2 linked regions of the Oryzias latipes genome follow. Each later gene encodes a partner of the first gene's protein in a complex. Links are inferred from orthologs where the notes say so. Each region holds a gene or a part of one and is shown on either strand. Other genes may lie near its edges.

Region 1 (10,993 bases):
AAGTTGTGCAAGAAAAGGAGTTAAAAATGGGCCAAAACCACTTGCACAATGTGGTTTTTGACCCTTGAACTGAGCGCGTGAGGCTACAGAATTGATTTTTCTAGGTCTATGCAAACAAAAGGGGCGTGGTAAAAAAAGAAGCATTTTTTTAAGCATTTAATTTAGCAGCTTTATAGAAGCATTCGTAGGAGTTTGGACACCAAACCTCGCCTCCAGACAAAGGCTAATTAAGGAAATGCACGAGTGTTTATTGAATATAGTGACTTGCGAAAGCTTCCTTCGACAAATTAGAAAGATTAGAAGTTGCATATTAAAAAAGAGCCAAATGAAACTGTTTCTTAGAGAAAGAGGAAGAGCTAAAAAGGCGAATCCGTCAGGCGTAAAAGAAGACAGATAACGAAACTGAAGCACTATTTTCCAGGTTCCACAAATTAGTACAACCTAAACAAATTGAAATCAAATTTAACTTAAAAATATTAGTTAATAATAAAATAATATTTTAAACATTTGTTTTAAAGCGAATATTTTGGCTAATTTATGTTGGTTTGGTGCGGTGGGGAGTGGCGTGCACATTTAGCACGCGAGACAAAAACGATTTCTCCCCGCCAGGCGGACGCTCAGTCCTCTCTGCAACATCACAAAAAAAACACGCGAATAGTCTGGTTAACTTTAGTTAGCGTGGGAGAAATTAGTTAAACTGTTACCGTAACGAGCTAGCATCAACTGGACGTGCGCACGTGCTGTAGTAGCCTAGCATGTGAAAGGTTTTCTGAAACGCCGCTTACCAGTTGAGTAGCAGTGAAGCTGGAGGTGCTGCTGTGCTGACCACGTTATTGTCCCTCTGAATACAATGACAACGCGGCGCTGGCCGCAGACACGTTACTCTGACGAGGGAGGGGGGATTCAAATAAGAAAAAAAAAGGAAAACTCCCGGGAACGCGCAAGTGGGCAGGGCCAGGCACGCCCCTGCCAACCGGAAGTGGGCGGCACAGGAATATAAAATATTGTAAATAGTCATTTCTAATAAAAATACTAATAAATTAATAAAACATTTCATCTAATTTTTGAGACAAACTTGTTGTGGCTTTTGTTCAGGTCAAAGAAATTAACAGAAATGTGTATTTCCTTAGAATTTTACACGTTTACAGAAAGTTTATGTTTTTTAATGCATTTCATTGTCTGTTAATCCTGGGTTTTTTTAAATCAAAAAATTTCTTCAAATTGGTAAAGGAGTTATGGGTGTTCTTCATACAAATGTTCACAATGACACGAGAAAACACAGAAAAAGATTTCATCTCCTTCTGTTGAAACATCAGATTTTACTGCAGGGGTGTCCAAATATGTGAGGGCCAGCCAGTCAGCCTGCATTGTTAAACCCATTTGATAAAAAAAAAAAAAGAAAAAATACAAATGAACCATTTGATGAAACCATTTTGAAAGGGAATACTTTGTATAACACAAATATTTTCAAATACATCGTTTATCTAATTTACAATAAATTTCATATTTGAAGACCAGAACTGAAGTAATGAAAAAGTCTGTCTAAAAAAAAAAATCCACCATAAATGTGGTTCATATGAAATGCTACATATTAATATAAACTTATACATTGAAGTCGTGGAAACAGGAAAACGACACAAATCTGTATCTTCTTCAGAAGTAAAACCTCTGTGGTTTTGGTCACAGAAACCAATACATTTGTTTTTTTGGATCTGGCCATTAAGGCTCTGAAGGACAAGTAGCCACAGGCTGTTGTCACAGGTAAACTAGTGTAAAATGTAATTTAGCAAATCCATTTCAAGCAGCTTGTAGCTGGTACAATTTTGAACATGAGCTGCATTTAGCCCATGGGCCAGACTTTGGACATGCCTGTTTCAGGCTAACCCAATCATCTAAGATCTATACAAGAAAAACTGTTATTTGGGTGCAATAAAGATCTGTGATGTATTATTTATCGATTGCATGTCAACACTTAACCGGAGCCAAAAAGAATAAGAATTCAAAGCATTGGCGACCTACTACTGTATCTTTGATTGTGGATGCATTATTTCAATAATGATTTAAATAGGTAAAGCAGCCAAATGTTGCCTCACTTGAAATCCATTAGAGCCAACTGACTGTTAAATTCTTTTGAAAAATAGAGACTAAAAATCGTTCTCTAAAGAAAGGCCCTATATGCATAAATACATTTAATCACTAATGATTTTAGAACTCTATTTATAGAACGATAATTTACTTATCCAATTTTGGTGAAGCAGCTTCCCAACAGCTCATGCAAATGTTTAGATGTTACTTCTTCTATCAACCAGAATAATAACTGCAGCATCAGCAAGTCAAGAATTTTTTGAGGGTGTGGAAAAATGCTCAAATCAAAAATAGTGGTAGTTTCTGCTATTTTTTTTTTTTTTAAAAAAAGGTTCATGTTAAAAATAAACAAGCGCTGGTTCACAGGAAACTCAACACATGAAAATAAGCTCTGGTAAAGCACACCTGCTTTCATTGTTCCAAAATAATCTTCGCACACAACATACAAACAAGTGATTTGCACACTTACAGAGAATGTGAACCTGTTTTTAACCCTTGTGCATTGACATGTTCTCCCTACCATGACAAAGGTGGATAAAGGTGGAAAGATTTTATGTAATCCATGGACACCAGTGAAGATCCCAAATCATTGAAGAAAAAAGGTTCAGAGCACTGTCTAGTGGGTCTAGATGACCCAACTCCCAACGTTAAAGTGCCTAGGATAGCACAGGGGTTAAGTCAGAGGAATGAAAGAGAATGTTGAATTTTGAGATATGTACATTTCCAACAAAATAAATGTCCAGTGACACTTTGAGCATGACTTAATGGCAGTCAGATGCATGTAAATCTGTACATATCAGATCACAAATAACAGACAACCCACTGCAAGTGTCTCCTTCTCAAACTGTAATGGATTACATAAGAGTATATTGAAAGTAGCAGAAATGTTGTGACTTAAAAACTGTTTATTTATAACTTGTGAAAGTGGCCACTGAGCATAAAAGGTTGCACGCCTTTTTTTCTAAAATTACTACAGAGACAATATTGTGGCACAAATCTTTGCAAAATTCCAAAAGACAAGAAAAAAGTGAATTTTTGAGTCCTTTACGTAAACATTATTTCCACATCAGTTACCACTGAAGACTTGAGTTATAACTAAGATTTTAGTTTGCAGAATAAACTAAATAACAAAGACCAACTCTCAAGTTACATGTTTTTGTAGCATTTTTCTGATAATTGAGGATATTAATAATAAAAATTATATTTCTAAGTATTTCTTTATTCAAATCTTAGTGAATCAGGAGCAGACAGAAAATTTTGACATTTTGAAAAAGATTGTAGAAGCTACAATGTTGATGACGGTCATTTCTTTGCATTGTACCACTGAAGAAGTCTTCACTTTCTGATGTGTTGCTTTGCTTCTTCAAGAGCCTGCAATCACAAACTTTAGAGTTAGAATTTTTTAAAAAGTAAATAACTGAAATCAAGTAAAAGCAGAGGGAACCTTTTGGATGGCATTCAGGGCAGAGTCATCATCTTGAAGTCTGGCATGAACTAAAGCCGTTTCAAAATGGGACACTGACGATTTGAAATTTCCAAGCCTCACTTTAAAGAGAAAAAAAGTAAACTATAGTCAAACATAAAGTATTTACAATGTAATAATTCCAAAAGATGAAGATCCTTTACATTCTGACTGTGCCATCAGAACACTGGCGTTCATCTTCCACTTTACATCTGGGATCTCAGCTGCCTCGGCAACAGAAAGGATGGCGTATTCTTTGGCTTCTTCATAGCGATGAAGCTGCAAGTAAAAACAGCCGATCTCATGCAACAACCAGACTTTCTCCAAACCACTGGGGACCAAAGGAATCCTCTTCTTCCATCTGAATGTTGAATGGAAATAACCATAAATATTCAGTCTTATTTCACAAAATAGTTTTTTTTTTTTTTTTACTTACAGCTCAATTGCTTCTGCAAAGTTTCCACTTTGAGCATATGTTTGCCCTAAGTTATCTAGAGCCCTGGATTTTGCTTCTGGAAGTTTGCTGTTGGTAAAAAAAAAAAAAGATTTTTTTTTGTTGTCTGTTAAAAACAGTTCCATCTATTTTTGTGGACTTTCCTCACCATTGCTCTGCCAAATCAAGCTCCTTTTGATGATGCTCCAAGGCCTTGTCCAGTTCTCCTTGGTAAAGCAAAGCGTTTCCAATAGAGCTGTGCAAACTGCCCAGAAGCAGCTTTTTATGGGGAAACTCTGTCTTTGACCGCCTCTCTACAAACTTCAGGACTCCTTTCGCCTTCTTGAGGCTATTTTCTGCATTTCCAGATTCCAGCGCTAAAATCCAAAAGAAAAAGTATATTTTTTCCTCTAAAATGACCAACAGGAAATATTGTTGACCGGATGTACCTGCATCTATTTCTCGGAGGGTCTTCAGCGGGAACTCCTTAAACTTAGAAGTCGTGGAATGCTTAACCTCCTGATGCTGAGGCTTCTTTTCTTGGGGGGCGACTATATTTTCTTGGTTACAGATCTCTATATAGGTCTCAATTGAAACGAGGCTGTCCTGAATTATGTCTTGTACTTGTTCTCCACTCTTTGTCTTTTCCTTCATCAAATCTGCAGATCATTGAATTGAAAAAAACCCCCCAAAGGATTAACAAGAGAACTTTGTCTTGTGTGAAACTGAAGTGCAGGGACTTGATCCGCACAGTACCTTCATCTTTCATCAGGTCTTCAAGAAACTTTTTATGGTCGACAAAATCCCCCATCAGATGTTTGGTTGCCTTCTCGATCCTGAAGGACTTTGGAGCCTCATTTTTCTCCTCTTCCATCAGATTCTCAACGACACTGATTGGCCGTAACCTCTTAACAAGTTACAACAGCATAAAGGAAGAGTGTCATTAACATGACATGCAGCAAGATGCAACTCCTTTTCAGAAAATAAAACAAACAAACATACTAATATAGTCATCTTCTTTTTTGGAGTCGTCAGCTTTAAAGAAAACAGCATAAAAAAGCAGGTGGTTTTTGTGCTGTTGATTTGATAAGAAAAAAAAAATGTCATTGTGCAAAAAGTAGTATAATCAAAAGTACTACTTAGTCTTTACTAAAAGTGAGGCAGTATACTGGAAGTTTATTTATACTTTCTATAAACATAAATATACTAACTTAAAATGTTCCAATTTAGTCTAAAGAAATATAAAGGAGCTGCAACTTGCAGTTTCGGTTTTGTTTAACTTTTTATTTATTTAAGTTTTTCCATGTATGTTTATGTGTCAAATAACTGAGTAAAATGGTGGAAAAAGGTTTAGTTTTACTTTCAGAGTGATTCATTATTTTTTAATGTTTACAGTTTTTATATTGTGTTAAATCGGATTCTGCACCATTGTGTGATGTTTATAACTGATAGTAAAAGGAGAGTAAAAGATGACGGTGCATCAAAGTCAAAGTGTAAAGTTAAATTACACATTTAATTACAGTAAATCTGCTGCAGCAGGAGGATCTTATTTGGCACAGGATGCCACAGGATTTATTTTGACAGGAAATTGCATGTGCTGCTGTCAAAACTAAAATAAGTTAAAGTGCAAATAAATGGCCACCAAAGCATAAAGTGTATTTTCTAAAATGTGTAGTGGTACTCGGTGGCTCTCTGGGGTTTGGTCCATGAGAAATAGGCCCAAATGGCTCTTTTAGCGTTAAAGGTTGCAGACCCCCGATCTGTAGTATAATTGTTATACTTGTACTTCATAAAATACACCTCAAGTGTACAAATTTTTCAATCTTTAAAACTCACCGCCTCCTCATTCTCAAGAAATGACAAGTCTCCTCCAACCTTCAGTTTGACATTGGTGGAATCTGCAGGAAAAAAAAAGATTAAAGTGCAATTTATGTTAAAAAAAATTATTTTATATTAGGAAAAGTTTTTTTGAAGTTCCTTATTACCACCAACTGCGTTTTTAATGGCCTCCTGAGCTTTCTTGATACCCAGCGTGAAGCACTGCATCTGCGTGCGAATGCTTTGTCCTCTGTGGTAAAACACCAACGAAAATTCAAATTCTCCCATGTAGAACAGAACTTTAGCTTTTTGGTAGACCCCCTGAAAAAATAAATAAAAAGTAAAGCTCCACTCGGCCTTCAGGTGGGACCTTTGCATCGGCGGTTACCTCAGGAAAGGACTTGTCATGTTTGAGGGACAGCTCAGCATCCCTCAGGGCGTTCTGGAGTTGACCCGTGTTTAGATAACAGTTGGACCGTCCGATCAAGCATTCCTTATCCTCTGGTTTTAAATCTAATATCTATAGTTTGTTAAAAAAACAAAACAAAAAAAGAAGTTAAAGAGCATTTTTTTAAAGGTGAAACAAGACAAAAGTTCCAAACCCACCGCAGTGAAGCTGCTTTGGGCTCTTCTGTATTCCCGCTTGTGCAGCAGCTGCTTTCCAGCAGACACCAAAGTTGAAAAACTCTGTGGCCTTTTCTGTTGGAGGTCTTCTCGAGTCTCCGACATGTTTTCTCCCCCAAGATGTAGGCAACATGTGTCCCTTGGTATCCTAGCAACTGCACCAACAAAGCAAAGGGGTGCCCTCTTGTGTTCAATGTGTGCAACAATAAACGATACTGCGATGAAGACAGGACAAGCAGAACAAGAGGAAGAAATGATGCAGGGGAAACCCGGAGAAGGCCAACTTTATTGACACAGCTGGTTTTATTCACAGGTGAGGATTTGGTTGTTTCACCAGAGAGGGCAAAACCTAAGTAAAGATAAGGACACTCTTCATTTCTTCAACAAGAGGTAATATTTTATGGTTACAGTAACCACTGGGCCAAAATTTCAGAGACAGCAGCTTAAAAAAAAAACCTCACATTATTGAACCACTTTGTCAAATCCCATTGATGGCATCATCACAGTCAGGCAGCATCACCCACTTTAGCACAACTGTGTTGCTTTGTTTTCAAGCAGAAATAAATGGCGTTTTTGAAGCTTCTTATGCAGCAGAGGAGTGCGTGTATCCGATGCCTTTTGTTGATCAGAAATCAAAATGACAATAAATATACATAAGAAAATAAAAAATAAAAAGTGAAAAAAAGAAAGGATTACCTGACATTACAACTCAACACTTTACATTCCAGCAACATGTACATTGCAGCAATTAGTGAATGGCAACAAAGAAAAAACTAGTGGAGGACTTTGCTGGCATCAACGCTGGCGCAGATGTTTCCATCGTCATAGTGTGTAGTGGCTGTGCTTTTTGTGTGTGTGTGTGTGTGTGTGTGGGGGGGGGGGGGGGGGTCCTAGAGGTCCAGCTGTTCTCTGAATTCAAACAGAATCCAGCGATCCTATAGGCTATAGAGGCAGTTCTCATTCAAATTCAAAGCCCCCACTGGATGTGTGACAGACGCCTACAAGATCCATGATTTCTTTTTCAGAAAGCATCGATCAAGTGTCTACCTTTCACGCGCAGAACACTCTGCAAAATAAAAGCTTTCTAAATTTGCAGTCACATCTCAAAGAGTTTCCCTAAGATGGCACTTTTGAACGGATCTGTAAAAGCTGGGATAAAATAGCTGCAGGACCTCTCCTTCATCATAGAAATCCAGAGGTGAGGTTTGGGCCAGTGCTTTCTAGCCACCACTGATTTTCCAAGTGGTTCTGGAACGGGGAACGCTGAATCCGAAACCAGCAACGCTCATAACCCACTGATGCCGTTGCTGGAACGGGCTATAAATCAATGGCTGCATGTGGTCGCTGGGTTGCATTCAGCGGATGGCATAGACGGGAATCTGGAGAGCAGTCAGTAAGTCAAAACCGATGTGGAGCTGATGGGTCGACACTGCCGAAAAGTCCTGATTCAGTAAAGATATAGGTTGACGTGTTCTCCAATTAACCAAACTGGAAGAAGAAATTTCCAGGTCCAGATGCTGCACAGGAACAAAACAAAAAGAATCCATTTCAGATTCTAAAATATACCCACATAGCAGAAATACTGATAGTGTTTTTTTATTTCATAAACAAGATAGAAATTACCTTCAAAACTAAAACCTCCTGGGCCTCCAAAAAAAGCCTTGAAAATGTTGTTAGCGTCAAAATCTGGAAGAGACAGAACAGAAGAACGATTCGTGAGACTCACTCCTCTGCTGCATAAGAAGCTTCCCAGAGTCCACCGCCGACACTGACCTCCCATGTTCATGCCGTCATCCTCAAGATCCTGCCCGCTGTCGTAGCGAGATTTCTTCTTAGGGTCGGAAAGCACGCTGAAAGCCTCCCCCACTTCTTTAAACTTTTTCTCCTCTTCCTTTTGCAGCTCTGGGCTGGCTCCGCTGTGGCGATCTAAAAGGGAGAAAAAAGGAAACAGCGTTTCGTTTCGTAATCAAGTTCCACCGGGGCTAATTCTAAGGCCGGGAGAAATCAACAACCTGGGTGGTGTAACAGCGCCCGTTTGCGGTAGGCTTTTTTGATCTCATCCTCTGTGGCGTTCTTTTCCACGCCGAGTATTTTGTAGTAATCTTTCCGCTTGCTCTTCTTCAACTCCAGCTGAGCAGTTTTCAAAAGATGCTTGTGTTCTAAAGAGAAAAAAGAAAGACAAAAAAAGACAAATTATTTCTTTTGTGGCTACATTTAGCCAAGAGCTTCCAGGGACAAACACTGACAGGTTTTAGGTTTTACCACGTACAAGCATAAATTTGGGAAGGATGCTGTTATATCACTTCTACAGACACACTCCTCACTGTGAACAAAGCACTCTCACCTTTTGTCTTTTCTGTCTGGTAAACCTTCTCGTAGTCTCTCACTGCCTCTTCATACAGCTCTGTGTCCATGTAGCTGCAACACATTTGGTTCATAGTCTTTTACTAACAAATATCAAACACGAACAAAAGAACAATAACTGACATTTTTCTATCGCCTGATAGGGTCCAAAATCTGCTTGGAACATAACTGTAAGCCTGTAGAAAGCATCATTTTCATTGAACATACCACTGTGCTCTCCTTAAATAGGCCTTGATGTAGGTCTCATCCAGTTTGATGGCCTTTGTGCAGTCTTCAATGGCCTGATCTAGTTTCTTCAGCTTGGAAGGGAAGAAAAACAGTGGAAATTAGAACAAGAAAAGGGTAGATATGGAAGAAAATGAAGTCTTACTGATGTGAAAGAGGAAAACATCCACCAAGCATCCAAAAATCTTCTTGTTCTCTTGCTGAAAGTTTAAAATCTTGAAGATGTAGGTCATGTTACTCACCTTAGATCCCACAGTGGCTCTGTTACAGTACAGCTTTGCGTTAGTCTTGATGTTGTTGGGGTCTATTGTTAATGCCTCAGAGTAAAGCTCATAGGCTGCTTCAAAGTTTCCATCTTTAAACGCCTTGTTCCCTTCCTCCTTCTTGGCTTTTAGTGCTTTGGCATCCTGGGAATGAAAGAGAAAAAAGGAAACCAAATCTATAGAGTGCTTAAAGCTAATGTAGAAGTAAACTCATCTAAAACATGCTTTCTTATGCCTCACATTGACATTTTAAGATAGTAGTTTGTGAAAACTCTTGTTTGATTTACTAACTCTGCATGCTAGGCGAGCTTTATCGTGATCGGGAGCCATGCGCAGGGCCTGGACGAAGAACTGGACGGCTTTATCGATGCAGTCCTCATAGTACAGGCAAAGGCCACGCACATACAGAGCGTCTGCATTCGTGGAGTCCATTCGCAGAATGTCACTGATTTAAAAGAGGGGGGGGGGGGGGGGGAATACAAGAAATTTTATTTCTGTTTAACATAAACTGATGGTTTTATGACCACACGTCTTACCTGGCCACTGACTGGGCCTCTGGGTATCGTCCCAGCAGGGCTAAACACTCGGCTTTCAGTATCTTGAACTTGTGACAAGCTGGGGCTGACTCTAAGGCACGATCCATGCAAAAGACAACCTTAAGAGAACACAAACACTCAGTTTGTAGCATTGCGGTAATCACTGTGTCAGACGAAAGGAAAACAAATAGGACAGAAAATGATCGGGGGGGCTCACCATTCTGAAGTCTCTTTTCTCAAAACCAATTTCTGCCATTCTCTCATACTCCAGAATGGATTCAGCATTCTTCACCTGCCAAAGGAAAGGCTGGTATTCAGTGACAATGCTTAGAACCTAACAGTAGGTATGCAACTGCCCTGTGCTCTTGCCTTAACCAGTTCTTCCAGATCATGCTAGGACTGCACAGAGATAATCTGCTGCCATTTCATTGAGAATTCAGCTCAACTCGACGCCTTCTAATGCTGTCTGTCGTGTATTTGCAGGTTCTGAGTCAAAGCTTCTCTCACCTCCTGCTGGGCCTGACCGTTTTCCAGCTCCAGCTCTAAAACCTTCTGGAAACAACGTCGGGCAGCCATCGCATTGCCCAGGGACAGGTGGCATTTGCCCTCCCGCAGATGCCCCTGTATGAAAAGGATCAGAGATTATCACTTCTAAAATAGCTTAGAGAATATAAGACAAACAATACCTCTTTTTTAAACGTATGAGAACAAGACTTTATAAAGTTCTGCACGTGTAGCATTCCAACAAACAACTGATCTAGTTTACAGATGCTGCATCAAATCCAACAACTAAAAAGTAAGACTCTAAAGCGGAGAGCAGCAAAGTCCCGTCTTGGAGGATCCGTTTCCTCACCGCTATGTCAGACCCTTCTGCTCTAATCATTGATTACCTGGATCAAACGTGTTTAGCCTGCAAAGGTTTGATTTGTAGCAAATGTTACTCAGTGGCCTTTGGGTAGAGTGTCCGCCTTGAGACTGGAAAGTTGTGAGTTGAAATTTCCAGCCGAGTCATCCCAAAGACTTAAAAATGGGACCCAAAGTCTCACTGCTTGACACTCAGAATTAAGGGCTCAATAGTGGGGGTTAAACCCCCAAACAATTCCAGAGTGTGTCTGCAGCTCACCGCTCCCCCAGGGGATGGTGGGCAGGTCTTTTTGGAATCCTGGGGTTCTAGTAGACCGAC
Region 2 (10,753 bases), on another chromosome or scaffold:
TTCAATGCTGCAGGATCCTGGAGCAGACAGGGACAAACCCATCTTTTCTGCGGCTGCTGTCCGGGCGCTGGTTTAAGGAGGAGTGCAGCAAGCGCCATAACAGCTGGACGTCGGGCAGCGACCTCATCCGGGCCTCCATACGCCACAGAAAGACAAAGAGCAGAGGTCAGGTTCCAGTAAATGCGCTCGCCTGCCGAGCCGTGTTACGGCTGTTGTGGGGAAACCTCAGCAATGGTTCTGTGGCTGTTGCCATGGCAACAGATGTATCTCTGCAGGAACTGTTTGATGGAGAAAGACGGGAATCTGTTGCTGGCAGCGGTTCTCTGGAGGCAAAGGGGAGACCGAAGGACTGCAAAGACAAGGAGCAGGATGAAGGGTGGGTATCTGTCACAATCAGACCACTAATGCGACATTTGAAAATTTGATTCAGCTTCTCTTCTGTTCTTTCAGGCCTCATGGAAACTCGGCACACACAGCCAGACATCAAATTCCTGGCATGCAGGTGTGTGTGAAAAATCTTGTGTTTGTTTCCCATCCTTTCAAGTGTACTCAACCATCTTAATACACCAATCAATGATCTTCAACTACAGGAGAACAGCAGTATTAATACCTCACACTCCAAAGGTATGAACGTGTCTTTCCTGATATCTTTGCTTGCGACTCTTTTTACATAATAAACATGTAGCTGTGCCAATAGGATATGAAAGGAGAAGTAATGGCCACCCAGGGAAATACGAGGTGATCACGACGCACGCACAGACCAACACCCCCCCCCCCCCACACACACACACACACACAGGATCTTAACTAATGGTTTGGCAAACATCTACTCTGAGTGCCACCCTTGGGCCACAAGCTCTAACCAAATATTTGACATTATGCAAGAGGAGGATTCATTCAAACCTGTTTTCGCTCAATGCGTTACATTATTATGCTTCAGTTTCATGTTCATCAGATGTACCCAGCTCACTGGATAGAAATAACCAAACCTTAAAGTTTGAGGAACTCCGTAAACAATCTGTCTAGAAAAAAAAATACATCAATGAGGGAAAGAGATATAAAATCATATCTTAGGAACATTTTCTTCCTAGAAGAAGGTTGAAAACAGATTTGGTTTTGCAGCCAAAATGATCAAGAAGGAAATCTAAATCTTTATGCATCTTCTGCAGAGGTGGGTGAAAAAAATGAAGCTGCAAGCAGCACTGAAAGGAGCTGAAGCCCAAAGAAAAATGCAAGCTCCCTTTTTCTAAAGCTGCATTGTTGAACTGATGGTGTGCTCTCCAAAGGCTCACTTGTAATTAGCAAGAACGCTGATTAAAACACGAGCGTTGTTTTTTTCCAAATGCAAGGGGAGCGATCTGAAACTGTTTTCTGATTCTGCAAGAGTAGCTGCAGATCAAGTCAAATTTTTTGGAAATTTTGTCCAAATGAGTGTGATATTATGGAGATATTACTTTTACCTTTGTAATTTTATCTTTGTTTCTCAGAAAAGCTGCCAAAAATCTTCTACAATTTATGACGTTGTTCACATTTTAATGTGTTATGAATCCAGTGTTTATTAAAGTTCAAAAAGAAATGTGCATGACTAAAAACATTGATTTGTGTATCTAAAGTGCAGATTGGGACTCCAAATATTTTCTTTGGACCTCAGGCTAACTCCAACTGACCTTTATCAGTTTATTGGAGAGCATCTGCTGGACCAGAAAAAAGAAAATAATAGAAAGCAAACACTAAACCACATAAATACCTCTGCAGAATCAGTTAAAGCAGCTGCTTCTCCCCAAAAGCCACGAAGTGCATACAATATATTTATTGATAAATATATAAATTGAGAGATTGTTTATGGTTTTGTATAATTAGTATTCTGAATCATTGTGCTTTATTAATTCATAATACGCATACAATTTAAAATAAAGAAAAAAATAAAAGTACATCTTATCATTTCTCAAATGACTACATATGTTTGTTCAATTAAATGGCTTTTTCTGAGTGAACATATGTGAGTACAGTTGTGTGTTTGTTTGAGTGCAGGAAGATTTGAGTCACAACAGGGACCCAAACTCTCTGAGCATCAGCCTGACAGAACAAGATCCATCCTCCCTGAATACCAAGAGCTCCACCAACAGCCTTCAGTCGAGCTACACGGTACACACACGAACGCGCATGCACGCACACACATTTGTCAAATCCACTGTCTGGCGACGCAAGATGACTCAGCTCTGGACACTGACGCAGGAGCTGATCTTTGCTGTTTGTGTTACAGCTCAGTGGGAGCATGATGAGTCTGTTCAGCTCGGGGGATTTCGGGGTGGTGGAGGTGAGGGGCCGCATCCAGTACTCATTGGTTTACGACGATCACAAGGAGGAGCTCCAAGTGAAGGTGTACTGCTGCGAGGACATCGCCTCGGCGCGCAGGAACCGCTCTGATCCGTGAGTGAAAGGGTGTGCGTGAAACTGGCAGCGTCCCTCAGATCCACTCCGTGAAAATGGTGCTTGTTCATTTCACAGATACGTAAAGACTTATCTCCTGCCAGACAAGTCCCATCACAGTAAGAAGAAGACTTCGGTGAAGAAGAAGACACTGAACCCAGTCTATGACCAGACCCTCAGAGTGAGAGCATCCCGTTTGCATGTTGCATAAAACATTAGCATTTGTCGTTTATCTTTCAGCTCTGTGGCTGTCATCGCAGTGATTAGTCATGCATATTGAAAAAAAAACAACACAGCTACTATTCACCTTTTATGTCTCATAACTCAAGGTCATTGGAGTCTTTCTTTTTCTGCACTCTTCAAGTATAAAGTGCGTGCAGGGGAGCTGCAGAGTCGAACTTTAAACCTCTCTGTGTGGCATGCCGAGCCCCTGGGGAGGAATATCTTTCTTGGAGAGGTGGAGGTGGCTCTGGGGCTCTGGGACTGGACCTGCACACAGCCACTGTGGCAGGACCTGCAGCCACGGGTGAGCACCCTGATGACTGGCATTGACGTAAACTCATACTCAGTCAGGTCCTCTATTGCATGTGCGAAACCTCCTTCGGGTATAATTACCAAGCGACTGTGAAGCCTCCATCTTCATTTGTTCTGCAGCTGTCGTTTTGACAGCTTTGTTAGAGACGAGGCGGGGAGGAGTGTGTGGGGGGGCTGAGGAGAAGCAAAGACACGCTGTGAATTTTAACTAAGCTTTTTGGGTTTTTTTAAACGCAGCATTAATCTCCAGCTCTCGAGTCTGTCTCCACTTCCTTCTCTTTGTCACAAACTTCTCCCGTTTGCACAGATATACCTGAACCCAGACTGTGTTAGCAGCAGAGGGAAAATCTTGTTCTCGATTAAATTTGTTCCAGATGGATTTGAAGGTGAGCAGAAAGTACGTTTTACCCAACGCCACACGACTGTTCACTGTTCACCGGGTGTGTGTGTTCAGGTGGGGGTCTGCCTCTGACCGGGGAGGTTCACATTTGGCTTCGGGAGGCTCAGGGTTTGGTGTCCCACAAAGGAGGCCCGATTGACTCCTTCGTTAGAAGGTGTGTCACCTCCGCTGCACCTTTCCTCACTTTTTTTGCCAAGACTATTTAAATACTCTGAGAGATCCTTCCTTTATGAGTATCCTTTTTTAGTCCTGTGTTTAAACTTAGAAACTTTTTTTATCCAATTAATTTGAAATGTTTTATATATATTTGTGAAATCGCATTAAAAGGTTTGAGACATTTTGGCTAAATCGAGAAATATCAAGTGATGATCTTTAATTAGTGAAGTAACAACAGAAATCCAATGAAAGCTTTTGATACTATCTGTATTTTTTTGTGAAAATTAATATAAAGAATAAAAAAGTAAAACCGTGGAAATCACTTCTTTGTTTTGTTTGTTTTACCTCTCCACCCACAAGTTACATTCTCCCAGACGCTAGTCGACAGAGCGGTCAGAAGACGCGGGCGGTGAAGCGCAGCATCAGTCCTGTTTACAACCACACAATGGTCTACGACGGATTCCAGCCCAGCGACCTTGTGGAGGCCTGTGCCGAACTCACCGTGTGGCAGCGCGAAGGGCTAAAGATGCACATGCTGGGGGGGATTCGTCTGAGCTACGGAACTGGTGAGAATCCACTCCAGACGCAGCGTTATGTAACTAAGAGAAGCTGCTCTTACGCTTATTAACAAGAAATTGCACTAAACATAACAGGGAACCGAGTCTACATTTGTTGCTCATTTTAAACCCTGAAACTACTTAATACAACATCTCGTGTTTGTCTTCTGGTGGTCTACAAACAAGGGTGTAGCGGGCCTTCCTCTATTATCAGATTTATCGCCATTCATAAACAGTTTAGTGTTTGTTCTGCAGTGGGGTGCTGGAGCTACACAGTGGCATTTCAGCAATTTAGATAGCCTTGTTGCAAGAGGGAGGTCATGTCACAGAGTTATGTTGTGAAAAAGTGTTTCTTTGTGGATTCCTGTCTTTTTACGATTTACAAAAGCAGCTTTTATTTAATGTGTGTAAGTTGTAGCATGCATAATTAGCAGTGTATTTTTGTTTAGCAGCATTGACAGTTAAATTGTTTTGCTTATAGTTTTACTGTGGTTCACACCTCAAAATCTACTGGGCGTGGGAGTATTTTACATTTGGAGCTATCTCAAAATGTTTCATATCCATTTATTATTCTTTAGGCAGCTGCAGTACAATATTGCAGCCATTTTGAGGTTTTGAAAATGAAACAATTTATCTGTTCATCCGAAGCCTTTTCTGGTTACTTAGGAGCTATGCTACTGCAAAGGTTATGGAGATAAACACAATGGTAAAAGGATACTGAGGTTGGAGCTGCCAGGAAAGAAGCCAAAGAGGAAACTGACTGAGGTAGTGAAGGGGGTGCATGAGGGTGGTTGATGTGAGAGAGAAGGATGTTGAGGAAAAGATCAGGTGGATGCAGATTCACTGTGTTGACCCCTGAAAGGGAGCAGCTTGAAGAGGGTGAAATGCTAATGCCTCTATTAAGTGTTCTGAACTTTAACCTTCTTAAAAAAAACGGAAAAATTCCTGGAAAATAACAGAATTTTCAGACTCTGTTCTCCATAATGCTGAGTTCTGACTGAGTATACGAACATCAGTTATTCAACAATAAAGATTAGGGAAAAATTCTGATTACCATTAAATTGAGAGACATGTTTGTTTGATGAAGATTACAAAAAATATTAGAAAAAGAACCACATAAAATTTTTCAACAAACAATTTTATCTTTGCTCTAAATTCATCTCTTGAATAAAGTGTTTCATTAAATCTTAATGCTGATTTTTGTCCTAAATATTTTACTGCTGAACACTTTTGGTTGTTTCTATGATAAAATAAAAGTTTTTATTTGATTTTAAGATATATCTTTTTAAACAGTGGCTCAATTTGAATTGCTAGGACAAAGCTAAGGGGAGCCAGTCAGCTGGATGGACTCAACAGAAGAGGAAATTGCAGTTTGGACCGCCATGATTGAAAATCCAAACCACTGGATCGACTCGACACTAACAATCAGAGCTAACCTCACACAGCGCTCTGTGTGACTTGCACATTTGTTGGAGTTTATAAATCTTTGGACTGGAAAAAGAACCTCTCATTTATTCATATCTGTTGCACATTACATTCTTATTTATCATTTCTGACACTAAAAGCGTCTTAAAATTTGAATTTTTGAGATTAGATAGATACTTTGTTGGAACTTTTTAATTTTTTTTTGCTCAGTGTGTTTATTCTGCCATAAAAGATCTTATGATGTATTGTAATTTATCAGTTTGTCATTAAACCTAACTGGTGATACAGTGTTTTGATGTATTGACCTCGACTACGTGAAAAAGCAAAATATTAATCAGTTCAACTTTCTTAAGGGGGACTTTAAACTATTTTTTCAAAAGAAATGCATTTCTATACTATGTAATGTGAAATATCCCTCAGATAAACACACCATCCAGGGAAATAACACGTTTTCCTATATTTTGTGTTCATCCAGCAGAGGGCAGTGTCACAACAGGAAACGACTTTCCTTCAAAATAAAGTACCTTGTTGTGGCTTCGTGACAGAAATTCTACTAAACAGACAGAGATAGGGAGTTTCGTAACAACGACACTGTATAAACTACATGGTTTTGTTTTTTGTTTGTGCTTTACTAAAACATGTGTAATCTAATTTCCTCCTCTTGAACGTAACGGTTCGACGTGTTGACGTCAGACGTTTATACGTGTTGTCATGGTGAAGCAGATAAAACGGTTCTCCATTTCATGCAAGTTGGTTAAAAATGTCATCAGCCAGTAAAAAAGCGATACAGGCCCTCGCGGAAACAATCTCCAAAAAAGTGGAACACTGTGAGTATAATTTTAAAAACATTTAAACTTTTAATTATTCGTGTGACCATTCAAACAGTCAGAACATGATGTTTAAATGAGCTTTTTCATTTCAAGTTAATAAAAAAGAGGTGGAATGTCTTATCTGGAAGTTCAATGCACTTCTGGAGGCGCAGAAACATTCTGATGGTTCGGTTTCGGGTCTGGACAGAAACCAGTTCAAAGTGGTTCTACACAACCTGTTCGAGATGACCGACGACTTCATCATGGATAGAGGTACTATTAGTCACAAGCCTAAGTATTACATTGTAAAGTTTGCTACATCTGTCCTACTATTGGAAAAGTGTCTGCAATTTATCAAACCTTCTCAGTCTTCAGGATATTTGACAAGGACAATGATGGATTTGTCACTGTGGAAGAATGGATCCAGGGACTGTCTGTTCATTTTTGGGGCACTCTGGATGAACAGAAGAAATGCAAGTTCCCCACAGCATGTTCCTTCCTGCTTCTTAAGCACTACTTCTCACACAAATGAGGGAATGCACACATATTTAGCCCATAAGGCCTGTCTTTTCTCCCCCCCTGCAGACTGCTTTCATATGTATGACTTGAAAGGCAGCGGATTTATCACGAGAGACGACATTTTTCTCTTGCTGAAGGACAGTTTCCATCTGCGGCTTGAAGAGGAAGGCAGAGAAGACGACTATCAAGATGAACAGGATGAGATCAACGAACTGATGGAAATTGTCCTCAAAAAAATGGTGAGATGTTGCCCTCCCATCTGCCTTTGTCACATTTGGATCGATGTTGATTGTAAGAATTTTGTCTTGATGTGTGCAGATTTATTTTGGTAACATGCCAACATTGCTTCCTGTGATTCCACAGGACCACGACAAAGACGGCAGGCTGTCTTTTCAAGATTTTGAGAAGTCTGTAAAAAAGGAGGAGCTACTCCTTGAAGCCTTTGGAAGCTGCCTGCCCAATTTCAGGGTAATCACAACCAAAAGTTGCTGAGCTTAAAAATATTGTAAGGATCTATTTAACTTAAATCTTTCTTTTTAGACAAAGAAGAAGTTTGAGCAGCAAGTACTGGAAAAGCAGCAAGATGAATAATAAAATATGAAGTGCAAGCGGTGTTCAACTTTGAGACTTTCATGAAAGAAAAAGCCAAAATGTTTTTCTTAAAGTACAATTTTATTTTAAGTTGAGCCTTTCAACGTTAGTTTTGATAAATATGGACAGTCGTCACTAAAACAGAATGGATCATATCCGACGGCGTGGCTTAACCTTCTTCTCCGCTGGTTTGAGGTCTGGGACCGATGTCACCTAGGAATGAATGAAAAGAATGAGACTGAAATGCACCAATATGGCATCATGTCAAGCTCTAATTCTCATTAAAAAAAAAATAAAAGACTACCTGCTTCATTGTGCCCCTGATCAGATTTACTGTTGTGTTTAGCGACTGATCATTCATGTCCAGCTTATGTGGTTCTGGTAGTTTTGGTCCAATCAAAGACGGTTCTCCAGAATCAGGCACTGGCTGTTTTGTGGCCTCCTCCATTTTGCGGCGTTTGTTCTTTTCCAAATGTGCAGTTCTTGGAACAAGCTTGACGGAAGAATCTGGGTTGGAGGCCAATTTTTTTTCGGAATTAGGGTCTTTACTGAAAGAGCTAAAGTTCTGGACTTTCTGCTGTTTTACGTCAGGAGGCACTGCGTCATGTAAAGTCCCCATTTGATCTTCTGTTGGTTCGTTCCCACGATAATCCTGATGAAAGTATTCCTGCGGGGGTAAAGGCAGTAGAGGAAATCCGGAACAATGGCTGAAGCTTGAAGTCTCGCCTGTTTTGTCACTATTGAAGATTGGATTATTTGTAGCAAAAACTCTGCTTGATGTGGGAACGCTTTCTGAAGACGTAGATTCCATGTGTACCGCATCCGCTACTCTTTCTTTTGCTGTATAAACATGAAACAGATAAATGACACTCATCAAATTCTTTATCTATACTTTAAACTTACAAAACAACAAAAAACATTTGATTTCAGATAAAAATACACAAAAAAAATTTTTTAATCACAGTTTTTTTTCATTGAACTTTTAAAAAACAATTACCTAAGAAAAAAAAGATTCAGTGCTTTTCAACACCGTATATCGTCAAAATGCGATAATACCTCTACTCCGAGCCACTTTCAGAACATAACTTCTCCTGTCCTGCAGCTTTAACTTGGTGTCTTCCACAGACTCGTACTCCGGGACGTAACACACATGCAGCACGCCGCCATAGAAACTCTTCTCATCCATGTTACGTTTCGCCGCTCTGGAACATCAAATATCAACCTGAATGACATATTTTTCAGCATTTCTGGTTTAGGGCAGTACAGTTAAGGTGCCCGCCATACCTAGCACTTGTCAGTTTTTGAAACTTGACCAGGTAGACTTCTGTGAACTCCTCAGCAGGATACTCGTCCAGCGGTCTGTATTCCTCCACTGTTCCATAAAGAGCACACAACTGGATCAGCTCCTCCATCACTCCAATAGCGGGGACTCCCTGGATCATCACATAACGGGACTCTAAATTTATTGTGTAGACCTGGCAGATACAAAGGCATGGTTATTAGTATATGTGAGGCTGTTGACGTGACCAATAAAAATCAATTAACTTAAAGACATAATCATCAGATCTGATGTACTTTCCTGCAACTCAGAAATCCAGTCTACTGTATTAGAAATTTGATTTTTATGGTTTATTAATTACAATTTTTTCGAAATGACTCAAACTTTTTACCATGTCTTTTATTTAATTTTATTTATTTATTTTTGCCAAAACGACAGTTTTATTTGTTTTTTTAAGACCTGCCGTTGGTCTTTTATTTATCACTTGCTGTGTGACTACAATTTATACTTTTTTCTTCCAGTTAAAAAAAAAGATTTTAAAATTTTCTCTTACATTCTTAAATGTAAAAATAAAACCAACTTACACATAATTATTAGCTCGTCGCTTGCGTCAACACAGACCGTCTTTGCTACAAACATTAGAAACGTTTTTCTTACCTTGACTGCTTTAGCTCTCCTTCCATCTCTATATTTGGGTCTAGAAAAACATGCGTTGTGTTGTTCGTGATGTTTGTAGACTTCTGGGACCTTCCAACAACCAGGTTTACTGTTGACATTTGCCGCCATGTTTGCTGAAACGCGTTTCCGCTTTGGTGGCATTTCAAAACAAGAGTTCATTCCGTTGTGCAGAGCACTCAACGTGTAGTGTTGACGACGTGGCAGTCTTATTTTGAAATGATCGATTCCATCGACAATCGACTGTTTTGTCTGGATCAGTTCTCTCATTCATCGAAATGTTTGTTGCACTTTGGCCGTTAGCGCACCAGCATGTTAAGCACTTTAAATGCTAAAATAGCGATGTAAACGTCATGTTTAGCAACCAGGGAATTCAACCAGTATGTGTTGTTTTTAACAACACTAAAAACTGCTTTATTCAACTCTCTTCAAAGCTGATATCGCACCTTTCTCTGAATGAGGTAAAGTATTAGCTAATTACTTAACATCGCTTCAGTTTTGTTGCATAAAGTTTACTGAATAATGACTGCTTTTGTGTTTTACACATTGCTGGTTTGTTTCTCTGACATTACAAGGGGACCTTTGGTTGCATTTAAGGTTTTAGTTTTTCTTAATTAAAACTTATAACAAAAGCAGAGCATTTTTTTATTATCACGTGTACTTAATTAGTATTAGGAAGTAATGCAAGGCAACAAAAAATGAATTGTTGGTAAAAATAGAAATTGGGCATCAAATACTGTCCTCATTCAGGGGTCTTTAGTCTAAAGGAAACTGCATTGTTTTGATTTTTAACACATTAACTCCTAGAAATAGTTTAATTTAGAAAAGGTTGATTATTATAATAACTAATGTGATCATCTCAATATTTCTATATTTTGCTACCACACCTGTGGAATATTTTTGCAATTTTTTAATTTAATTCTTCTGCTGAGCATAAAATCTGAAATGTATGTAATGATACAAAATGTACAAGAATAAAAACTAATAAAGGTATCACAAGTATCTAACATTCATAAAGTTGGAATCATAATTTCGACATCCGCTTTAAGAGACCATTCTGTGTCTTATTTCATCGTCTCTCTTTGGCCGGTCCGTTTTAGAATCAGGCTTTGGAGCTGTCTTGGGACGGCGGGTCGACAGTGTTCCTTAGCTGGTGTCCCATCAGAGCCTCCTTAGGAGCAGACAGCCACAGAGTGGAGTTGTCTCGGCAGCTTGGAGAAAAGCTCGGTTTGACTGATGGAGAACAGGTAAAGACCTTGGTTTCTTCCTTTAGGTCATCAACTGGGACGAACACTGCCTGTGCAACAGTCTCTTAACATTGGTCTGACATTGAGTGGTTTTCACAGTGTTTTCTCAGACCATGCCATCAAGTCTCTTC

What was found.
Region 2: ttc25 (region 1) and efcab1 share a complex: the UniProt entries of both Homo sapiens proteins name them as parts of the outer dynein arm-docking complex. The link is inferred for Oryzias latipes from reciprocal best matches to the Homo sapiens genes ODAD4 and CLXN.

What each region holds. Positions count from the first base shown.
Region 1 is NC_019866.2:5,981,937-5,992,929, forward strand, and holds ttc25 (tetratricopeptide repeat protein 25), read right to left. Parts: upstream 6,621-10,993; 5' UTR 6,528-6,620; coding exon 6,405-6,527; intron 6,319-6,404; coding exon 6,187-6,318; intron 6,120-6,186; coding exon 5,966-6,119; intron 5,879-5,965; coding exon 5,817-5,878; intron 4,888-5,816; coding exon 4,737-4,887; intron 4,640-4,736; coding exon 4,150-4,639; intron 4,071-4,149; coding exon 3,984-4,070; intron 3,909-3,983; coding exon 3,712-3,908; intron 3,631-3,711; coding exon 3,530-3,630; intron 3,457-3,529; coding exon 3,421-3,456; 3' UTR 2,693-3,420; downstream 1-2,692. Other genes in the region: dnajc7 (dnaJ homolog subfamily C member 7), read right to left, coding at 7,902-7,939, 8,046-8,108, 8,196-8,348, 8,435-8,581, 8,767-8,840, 8,994-9,085, 9,254-9,418, 9,566-9,719 and 3 more. UniProt on the Homo sapiens protein: Component of the outer dynein arm-docking complex (ODA-DC) that mediates outer dynein arms (ODA) binding onto the doublet microtubule. Plays an essential role for the assembly of ODA-DC and for the docking of ODA in ciliary axoneme.
Region 2 is NC_019869.2:21,761,797-21,772,549, reverse strand, and holds efcab1 (EF-hand calcium-binding domain-containing protein 1), read left to right. Parts: upstream 1-5,955; 5' UTR 5,956-6,262; coding exon 6,263-6,329; intron 6,330-6,425; coding exon 6,426-6,584; intron 6,585-6,679; coding exon 6,680-6,784; intron 6,785-6,896; coding exon 6,897-7,069; intron 7,070-7,193; coding exon 7,194-7,298; intron 7,299-7,370; coding exon 7,371-7,421; 3' UTR 7,422-7,571; coding exon of another isoform or gene 7,572-7,634; 3' UTR 7,635-7,719; downstream 7,720-10,753. Other genes in the region: sytl1 (synaptotagmin-like protein 1), read left to right, coding at 14-165, 262-376, 451-502, 591-624, 686-738, 2,032-2,145, 2,264-2,430, 2,509-2,611 and 5 more; rbm48 (RNA-binding protein 48), read right to left, coding at 7,572-7,634, 7,726-8,261, 8,478-8,623, 8,706-8,896, 9,358-9,519; pex1 (peroxisome biogenesis factor 1), read left to right, coding at 9,729-9,836, 10,476-10,622, 10,722-10,753. UniProt on the Homo sapiens protein: Component of the outer dynein arm-docking complex (ODA-DC) that mediates outer dynein arms (ODA) binding onto the doublet microtubule. Seems to regulate the assembly of both ODAs and their axonemal docking complex onto ciliary microtubules.